Cricetulus griseus: one gene and its partner. The protein of the gene in region 2 purifies or fractionates together with the protein of the main gene of each other region. This does not show direct contact. Links are inferred from orthologs where the notes say so. Each region holds a gene or a part of one and is shown on either strand. Other genes may lie near its edges. The genes, in order: Plod1 and Hnrnph2.

Evidence for each region.
Region 1: the proteins of Hnrnph2 (region 2) and Plod1 purify together in Homo sapiens (affinity purification with mass spectrometry; 3 studies listed by BioGRID and IntAct, counting the BioPlex papers as one, with this or other methods). This does not show direct contact. The link is inferred for Cricetulus griseus from reciprocal best matches to the Homo sapiens genes HNRNPH2 and PLOD1.

What each region holds. Positions count from the first base shown.
Region 1 is NC_048595.1:8,532,874-8,536,686, reverse strand, and holds part of Plod1 (procollagen-lysine,2-oxoglutarate 5-dioxygenase 1), read right to left. Parts: intron 2,351-3,813; coding exon 2,259-2,350; intron 1,227-2,258; coding exon 1,093-1,226; intron 722-1,092; coding exon 558-721; intron 1-557. UniProt on the Homo sapiens protein: Part of a complex composed of PLOD1, P3H3 and P3H4 that catalyzes hydroxylation of lysine residues in collagen alpha chains and is required for normal assembly and cross-linkling of collagen fibrils.
Region 2 is NC_048604.1:45,490,286-45,494,430, forward strand, and holds the end of Hnrnph2 (heterogeneous nuclear ribonucleoprotein H2), read right to left. Parts: intron 4,107-4,145; 5' UTR 4,015-4,106; intron 3,954-4,014; exon of another isoform or gene 3,853-3,953; intron 2,988-3,852; 5' UTR 2,935-2,987; coding exon 1,585-2,934; 3' UTR 794-1,584; downstream 1-793. UniProt on the Homo sapiens protein: This protein is a component of the heterogeneous nuclear ribonucleoprotein (hnRNP) complexes which provide the substrate for the processing events that pre-mRNAs undergo before becoming functional, translatable mRNAs in the cytoplasm. Binds poly(RG).

The DNA of each region.
Region 1 (3,813 bases), on a different chromosome or scaffold from region 2:
TGTGTGAGGGAGTTGTACGTGTGTGTGTGTGTGTGTGTGTGTGTGTGTGTATGTGTGAGGGAGTTGTGTGTGTGTGTGTGTACGTGTGTGTGTGTGTGTGTGTGTGTGTGTGTGTGTGTGTGTGTGTGTGTGTGTGTGTGTGTAGGTCAGAGGACAACTTGCAGGAGTTGCTTCTCTCCTTCCGTCATGTGGGTCTAAGGTTCAAACACATTGTCAGGCTTGATGGCAAGAGGTTTATGCCCACTGGGCAATTTCATTAGCCCTGGTTTTTCATTGTTGTTGTTGTTGTTGTTTTGTTTTAGTCCTGTCTTTTTAATAAAATTTTTTGACACACAGTGTCATGTAGCCCAGCCTGGGCTACTGGACTCTAGAGATCTTTGGGAAGAGGAAGAGATTTGGAAGGTGAAGGAGTCAGGGTGACTGAGCTTCTCCCGCACAGACGGCTGGCTCTTCAACAAAGCGAGGAAGACATCCATCCCTGAGAGGCTGTCTTTGAGACTGTGTGCATTTGGAACCCATGTCTCACAGCGATGTGCACATCTGCACATAGCTCTTACCTCCGGAGCCCAGGAACCGCTTGCCATCAGACACCGTCGGATACTTAGCCTCCAGCCTCCGGTCGGGGTAGATGAGTTCCTCAGCTGAGAAGACCACCCGGCTCTTGGCCTGCTGGAACTTCTTTAAGAGTTCCCGGGGCCCCGAGGCAAACACCACATCGTAACTGTGGCCAAAGCGGGGAGAAGGTGAAGCAGGGTCCAAAGAGGGCACCCACTGAAGGACACAGGGATCAGGAGCCCCTCCCTCAGTCTGCTGCGTTTCCTACGCTGGGCAGAGACACTGTCCCCATAACGCATGCCCTTGTCATATGACACATGGCTCATGTGTCATCTCCGGCAGCTTACACCTCCCATCTTTCACCAAGAGGAGTATTGGCCTACATCAGAGAGACTCATCCTGGGGTCTCCTGACCTTGGATAAGCTTAGTTAGAGGGAGCCTCCCTTACACATAATGTCCAGGTCTTTTTTGGACCCCCTGCCCCTAACACCACCCTGTACTCCAGGGATGCAAGCAGGAGTTCCCAGCACACCCACCTGTCAGTGAAGAGAATAACCAGGTCTTCCTTGTGCGCATGCTTTTCCAGCGCCTTCTTCAGCAGCCGAACCTTCTGTCCTCCGCCTGCCGAGGGTCCACTGTCCACGCTCCAGTCCTCCCCCAAGCCCAGGGCCTGCAGAGAGAGGCCCCCAGCTTTTGGTAGAGAAATATTCTTCCACCAGTTTGGGGAGTGGACATCTTTGCTTCCTTTCAACCCAATGTAGGGAAACCATACCGGGTGATGATGATGGTGCCAGTGGTGGTCACGTGACCAGGGATAGCCAATCACTACCTCCCATTCCTCTGCCCCTCCTGTAGCTCGAGCTTTGAAGATGTAACACCCCCTATCAAAGTCTTCCCTGGGGCTGTTGTATCAAAATGAAGGCAAGGTTGTTACGATGGGCTAAGGTTGCAAAGTTGGGGTGCAGAAGTCTGGGGCACCTTACCACGATGGAGAAAATCTGTCTCTGGAGACAGAAAAATGAAACTCTTTGCTGCTTGGGACCCTGGATCCAGCTGTCTGAAGCAACTCCCTGCTTCGTTACGATCCACAGCAGCTGATAGCTTTCTGCCTGGCTTCACACCTAGCTCTGTGTAGGCCATATTGAGGCCGGCGTTGAGTACATCTCTGTCCCCAGGGCCCAACACTGTGCCTGACAGACAAGTGCTCAGAATGGTCCGCTGAAGGGAAGGAGGGCTGACTCCTGCAGGGCTGGGCCCCATGAGCTGCCAACAGAGGACACGGAACCCACGCCCGGCAGACAGACATGTTTCTTTGTGACGGTGTACACTCTCCGGGGGACTTCAGACCACATCCATTCCAACATGCCCCAGGGGATTGTGGGAATGTTGGTCCCCAGGCCCTACCATTCACACTAACCTTCCAAGACCATCCAGGTACCACTCCACACCATTCTCCCTCTCACCTCCAAAAACCTGCTCACACTCTGCCCTTCACCCTAACTCATTCTCCTCTTGGCACCCGAGTCTGTTCCAAGAGCCCTGACTTTGGGAAGGAGAAGCCCTAGATCCCCCAACACCACACACTCACAAGGCGCGCATGCGTGCACACACACATACACACACACACACACACACACACACACACACACACACACACACACACACACACACACTGTCTCTCCTTTTCCCAGGAAGCCCTCACCTGAATCTTGTAGTTGAAGAACTGGGCTGAACGCTTGAAGCGGCGGAAGCCCTCTGTCTCTTTGGTGGCCACAGTGAGGACCAAAAGGTTGTCTGTGGACAGAGAAGGATGAGTCTTGAACAGAGGCCTTCGTCATCACACCACTACAGACTAGGGCTCAGGCTCTGCCCAGGGCCATCCAGTGGGTTAAGGACAGAGCTGGGACATTCCCTGGGCTCCTTGTATTCAGGCAGCACCCAGAAGAGGGCGTCTGCACCCTGCCTTCTGAAACCAAGTCTCTGGCTTTAGAGGCTGCAGGCATCACCTGGGGATGGAGGGAGAGGTCCTGAGTGCTGAGCATGGGGGATCTCTCTGGCCAGTGCTGGGCATTAGAGCGGGGAAGGCAAGTGCAGAGTTCATGAGGCCACTTGCTCTCTATGCGTACACTGAGGGCGGACACACTCATTCACTGTGCTCTTCCCCAAGCCTGCGTGCATGGCTGACTCTCCCAATGCCATGATTACAGTTCAGGCTGCCTGGGGGTGGAAACCGGCTTGAAATCCCCTCACCCGTCAGTGTCTGTGGCCAGAGCAGCTGGTTCTAGCTTCCCTGTCTTCCTCCCTCTCATTTTGAAAAGGGGTCTCATGTAACCCAGCCCCATATCCAGCTCAATGGGTAACAAAGCTCCCCTTGACCTTCTCTATTGATCTTCCTGTCCCCTCTCCCAAATGCAGAGGGTGCAGGCATGCACTGCCACACTCAACAAGCCTGGCTTTGTTAATACATTCTCAACAAGGGACCTCTCCAGGCTCTGCAGTGTGACTTCACCTCTGCAGCAGAACGTGCTAGAAGCAGCTCCCACGACTTCATCTGTGGGTGAGAGCCCCCAGAGGCCCCTCTAGACCCCACTGGGAGGCTGTGATGTCTGAGAAGTGGGGACCAGAAGCTGGCCTGCCTGGTTAGACCCCTGCACTGCCTCTTGCAAACTGTGACCCAGGGCAAGTCCCTGGCCCCTCTGAGACTCATGCGATAGGGCCAATAAAGTGCCTGCCTTCAGGGCTGCTAGGCACTTGGCACACACTGACAGGAGTCAGTGGGGCTGACTAGCGAGGGGAATGCCTTGCCCAGGATTCATGGTTCTGTGCAGCCAGAGGCGGGCTCATTCTTTGGATTGTGTATGCTCCTCTTCAGCCTGAGTCTTGCTGCTGGCTTCTTGCCAGAATCCCAGGGCCAGTAATCATAGTACCCTTCCCTTTCCCACTGTCAAAACCTATGAATGCCACTCAGACTTCTGCCCTTGGAGGTTGGGGGACAGGCCCACTATTCAGGACTCCCATTTACCTAGGTGAACAGAACATACCCCCCTGAGAAAAAACAACAACAACTCCCTCCAAATCCCAGGCAGGCCATCGGCAGGCAGGTAAGACCTTCCCCTTCCCCTACCACTGGACAACAGGAGTTAAAGCCAAGAGAACAAAATCCTCCAGCCTCAGCCTCCCAAGGGCTGTGATTACAGAACTGCACCACCATACACAGGTCACAGCCACACTCTTTTTGTTGTTGTTTTGAGACAGGG
Region 2 (4,145 bases):
GACAGACCTCTGAGTTCAAGGTCAGCCTGGTCTACAACATGGGTTTCAGGACAGCCTAGGCTATACAGAGAAACCCCATTTCAAAAAGGAAAAGAAAAAAAAAGAAAAAATCAGAAATAAAACTGCAGGGCTAGAGACAGCTTCATGGGTAAGAATGCTTGCTGGGCTAGCACAGAAGACCCCACTTCACATCCCCAGCACCCATGTAGAAAGCCAGTCGTACTCATACACATGTAACCCCAGTGCTGTGGGCAGCAGAGACACGGGGATCACTGGAACTTACTGACTGCCAGCCTAGCTGCAGGCTCAGTGAGAGACCTGTTATCAGGACAATATGGCAGAGAGCAATAGAACAGGGTACCCAATGTTTTTCTCTGGCTTCTACCAACACTCATTTACATGTGTGTACACATTCATTTGAACACACACACACACACACACACACACACACACACACAAAACAAATAAATAAATAAATAAATCCAAATTTAGGCTTTGGATGTCGCCCTGTTGGTATAGTGGCTGTCTTGCATGCAAGAAGGTGTGGGTTTGCTCCCCACCAAGGCATAAACTGGAAACAGTGCCACATGACTGAAATTCCAATACTTAGGAGGTAGAGGCAGGAGGAGCAGAATTTAAAGGTCATTCACAGCCTGGAATATTAGAGACCTTGTCTCAAAAAAAAGGAAACTGAAAATTTGCATTCCCACTGCAGAGAACTTTTAAAAAGTTAGTTACCATGTGCCCATGTAACAGAACATGATTTAAGAAAAATCAAACTATACAAGATTTGTCCAGTTTTTAAAAGGAAGATTTATTTAACAAGTTTCACTTAGTACAATACATCTAAATGGAATTCACAATACAAGGTAAGATTTAAATCAAAGCCTCAGAATTCCATACAAACAACATGACCAAACTCCTAAAGTATTGGTACTACATCTCAAAATTATCCCAGATCTTTTTAAAAAAAAAAAAAGTGAAAGTGTACACTCACGTGCCTTACAGGATATTAAACCAAAAAGCTAGAATTAACAAACATGCCAAATGTTGTCACTTTGAATCATAGACACAGCTCCTATATTTGATTTTTACAGAAAAGCATGTTTCTCAACATGCATCTGAAGGCTTTGATGTATTGTGGTATAAGAGCAACATTTAACGTAAGTGAAACTGCTTTAAACCTAAATATGCTTACTGCTTAAGTACACTCCTACAACATAACTAACTTGAGGAAAGCTGAAAGTGGATTTAACAGTTATGGTCAATACTGAACTTGTTATTACATCCTAGATGAATATTTCAGTGTTCAAAACTGCTGAGCTTAAAGTTTGAAAACAATCTTAACTTTTACTTTACAGTAAGCATGAATCACAAGCTTGTAATGCAAAACTGTTAAACTTAAATTTTGTTCTTAAAAAAAGGAGAAAAAAAAAAGAAAGAAAGCTGACCGATAGTGATCAGAAGCAACTTTATTTCCCATTTACCAATCATACTGGATATGCTTGGTATCCTTCCTACTCTATCCAGTTCCTATAAATGCACAGCTTTTATTCCTGGAGCTGTTTGGTGTTCCTTCTTTCCCTAAGCAAGGTTTGACTGATAGTCACTTGAGTTTTCCTGAAGAACTTGGTCATATCCACTCATACTGCTCTGACCACCATAACCACCACCATAACCACCACTCAGCTGCTGGCTGGCAGGACCTCCATAACTAGACTGGTTAGATAAACCCATCCCTCCCATCATCTGGCTGCCATAAGCACCACCGCTTGCCCCTGCTGTAGAATTCAAAAACAGTTCTACGTAGCTATGATCGTAAGCTCCTCCACTTGTCCCTGCAGTAGAATTCAAGAAGAGCTCCACATATCTATGCTGCATATTAGCTTTATCTTTTGCCATAGCTGCCACAGCATCTTCATGAGTAGCAAACTCGACATCTGCCTCACCTGTAACTCTGCCATCGGGTCCTATTTCAATGTGTACTCTCATGGGATTAAGAGGTGAGAAAAAATTGTAAATATCATTCTCAGTGGCTCTGTATGGTAACCCCCTCATGTGTACACAGTGCCCTGTGGTGCTCTGGAAACTGGACCCACCATCTCCATATCTATGATCAGACATTCCTGAGAAACAGTAGTTTAGGTCTCTCCCAAATCTATCAGACCCAAAGCCATACCCGTCATTATAGCCTCCATAGTCATCATAGCCTCCATAGCCTCCACCATAGGCACCCCGCCTCATTCTTTCAAATCCAGCTCCTCTACCAATGCTATTATACCCTCTTCCAGCCCCTGGCCTATCATAAGGACCCGGGCGCTGCATAGTCATAAGCTTTCGAGGGGGATCATAGTGAGTTCGGACTTCAGCTCTGCTACTCTTGAAGATTTCAATGTACCTGTGCCCTATTCTTTCCTTGTGTTTCTTTAAGGCCTTTTCAGCTATCTCCTGTGAAGCAAACTGCACGAAAGCCTCCCCTGTGCTTCTCCCCTGAAAGTCCACTGGCAGTGTCATCCCATTTGGCACAATTTCCAACCCTGAAAAGAACTGAACAATTTCTTCCTTGCTACAGCCAAATGGGAGTCCTCTAAGCCGTACAAAACCATCATTGGCAGTATCAGGACTATTTGGACCTGTATGCTTTAACACCCAATCCATTTCAACACTGTTGGACTTGAATACTTCAACATATCTGTGTCCCATGGTTTCTCTGTCTTTCTTTAAAGCCAATTTTACTTCATCTTCAGATTCAAGTTCGACAAATGCTTCACCACTTGGTCTGCCTTCTCTGGTGTAGATGAAACGAACACCTGATGTACCATTTTGGATTTTGCAATCAGAGAAGAAGCGCATCACTTCCTCAGCTGAGCAGGACCAGGGTAGGCCCCTGACCTTCACCACGAACCCCTCCCTGCCCTCTGTGCTCAGCATCATGGTGACTGTTGGGCTCTTGGTGGCAAGCTTGGCTCAACGCAATTTCAATGTGGCTTTAAAAAAATTAGAAAACTATTGTCATGAAAAATTATACACAATAAGAGAAACAAAGAAAACTATTATTATAGAAGTTCACATCAGTTACTTTTTAAAAAGATAGCCACATTAACAAAAAGACTGCATAAAACTTAATTCACTCACTTAACAATTACTCATTCCATTTCTATTATGTATCAGGTATAATTAATAATGATTATTTCTGGGTAGCAGTACAATAGGACTTGTTTCCATGAACATATACATGGAAAATATTAAGACATTTTTTGAATATTTTAAATTTTCTGCACTGGCCCAATGCATTAACATCATAGAGAAAATTAAAATTAAAAATAAATAAAATATAACTATATCTCATTATATAAAAATCAAAAATTTCTTTAAATCAAAAGACAAAATTCATAAGATACAAGTCCATTAATATCCCAAGAATATAAACAATGCATGCAAATCAGTAAAATACAGAACTATTAATGCCTAAGAGATAAATGGGAAAAAAAACATTGAAAACATTAATGGGACTTTACATATGCAAGCATGCTTTAGATGTCAGGTCTAGTACTCATTCTGACATGTAAGAATCAATGAGTCCAGAAAGGGCTTACAGTCCTACAGGAGAACTGTATGCCTTTACCAAAGGAAAGTGCAAACAGATAAAATAAAGGAAGGACTGATTGATGAAGTGTTATCAATTGGAGGCAGAATGGTTAATTGACACAAACTATTCTGATCCTGTTCAGGGATCCAGAAACAGTTTATAAAAATGTTTAATGGAGCACGAAATGGAAGGGGACAAAAAGCAAAGGACAGGGCTGTCAAAAAGAGATGAGATCCTGAGGGTCTGATTTAATAGGAGGCTAGACTCTTCTCTGGTTCACAAGCATGATGATTCAGTATTCACAACACTGTGTGACATGTGCCTCCCCCAAACCTTAAGACATTGGGACTTTACCGTTCTGATGCTGGGTGTGGAGAGGGGAATATATATATATATATATACATACATATCTATATATATAGCACCTTTTACGGATCTTAAACAGGAGTGATGTCATTACAGCCCTTTCAGACTTATCACCCAGGCAACTGGAGCATTCAAACAGAAGGAAGGGGGACTGGATGAAAAGAGCAAAAGAGCAAATTAAAGAATGACC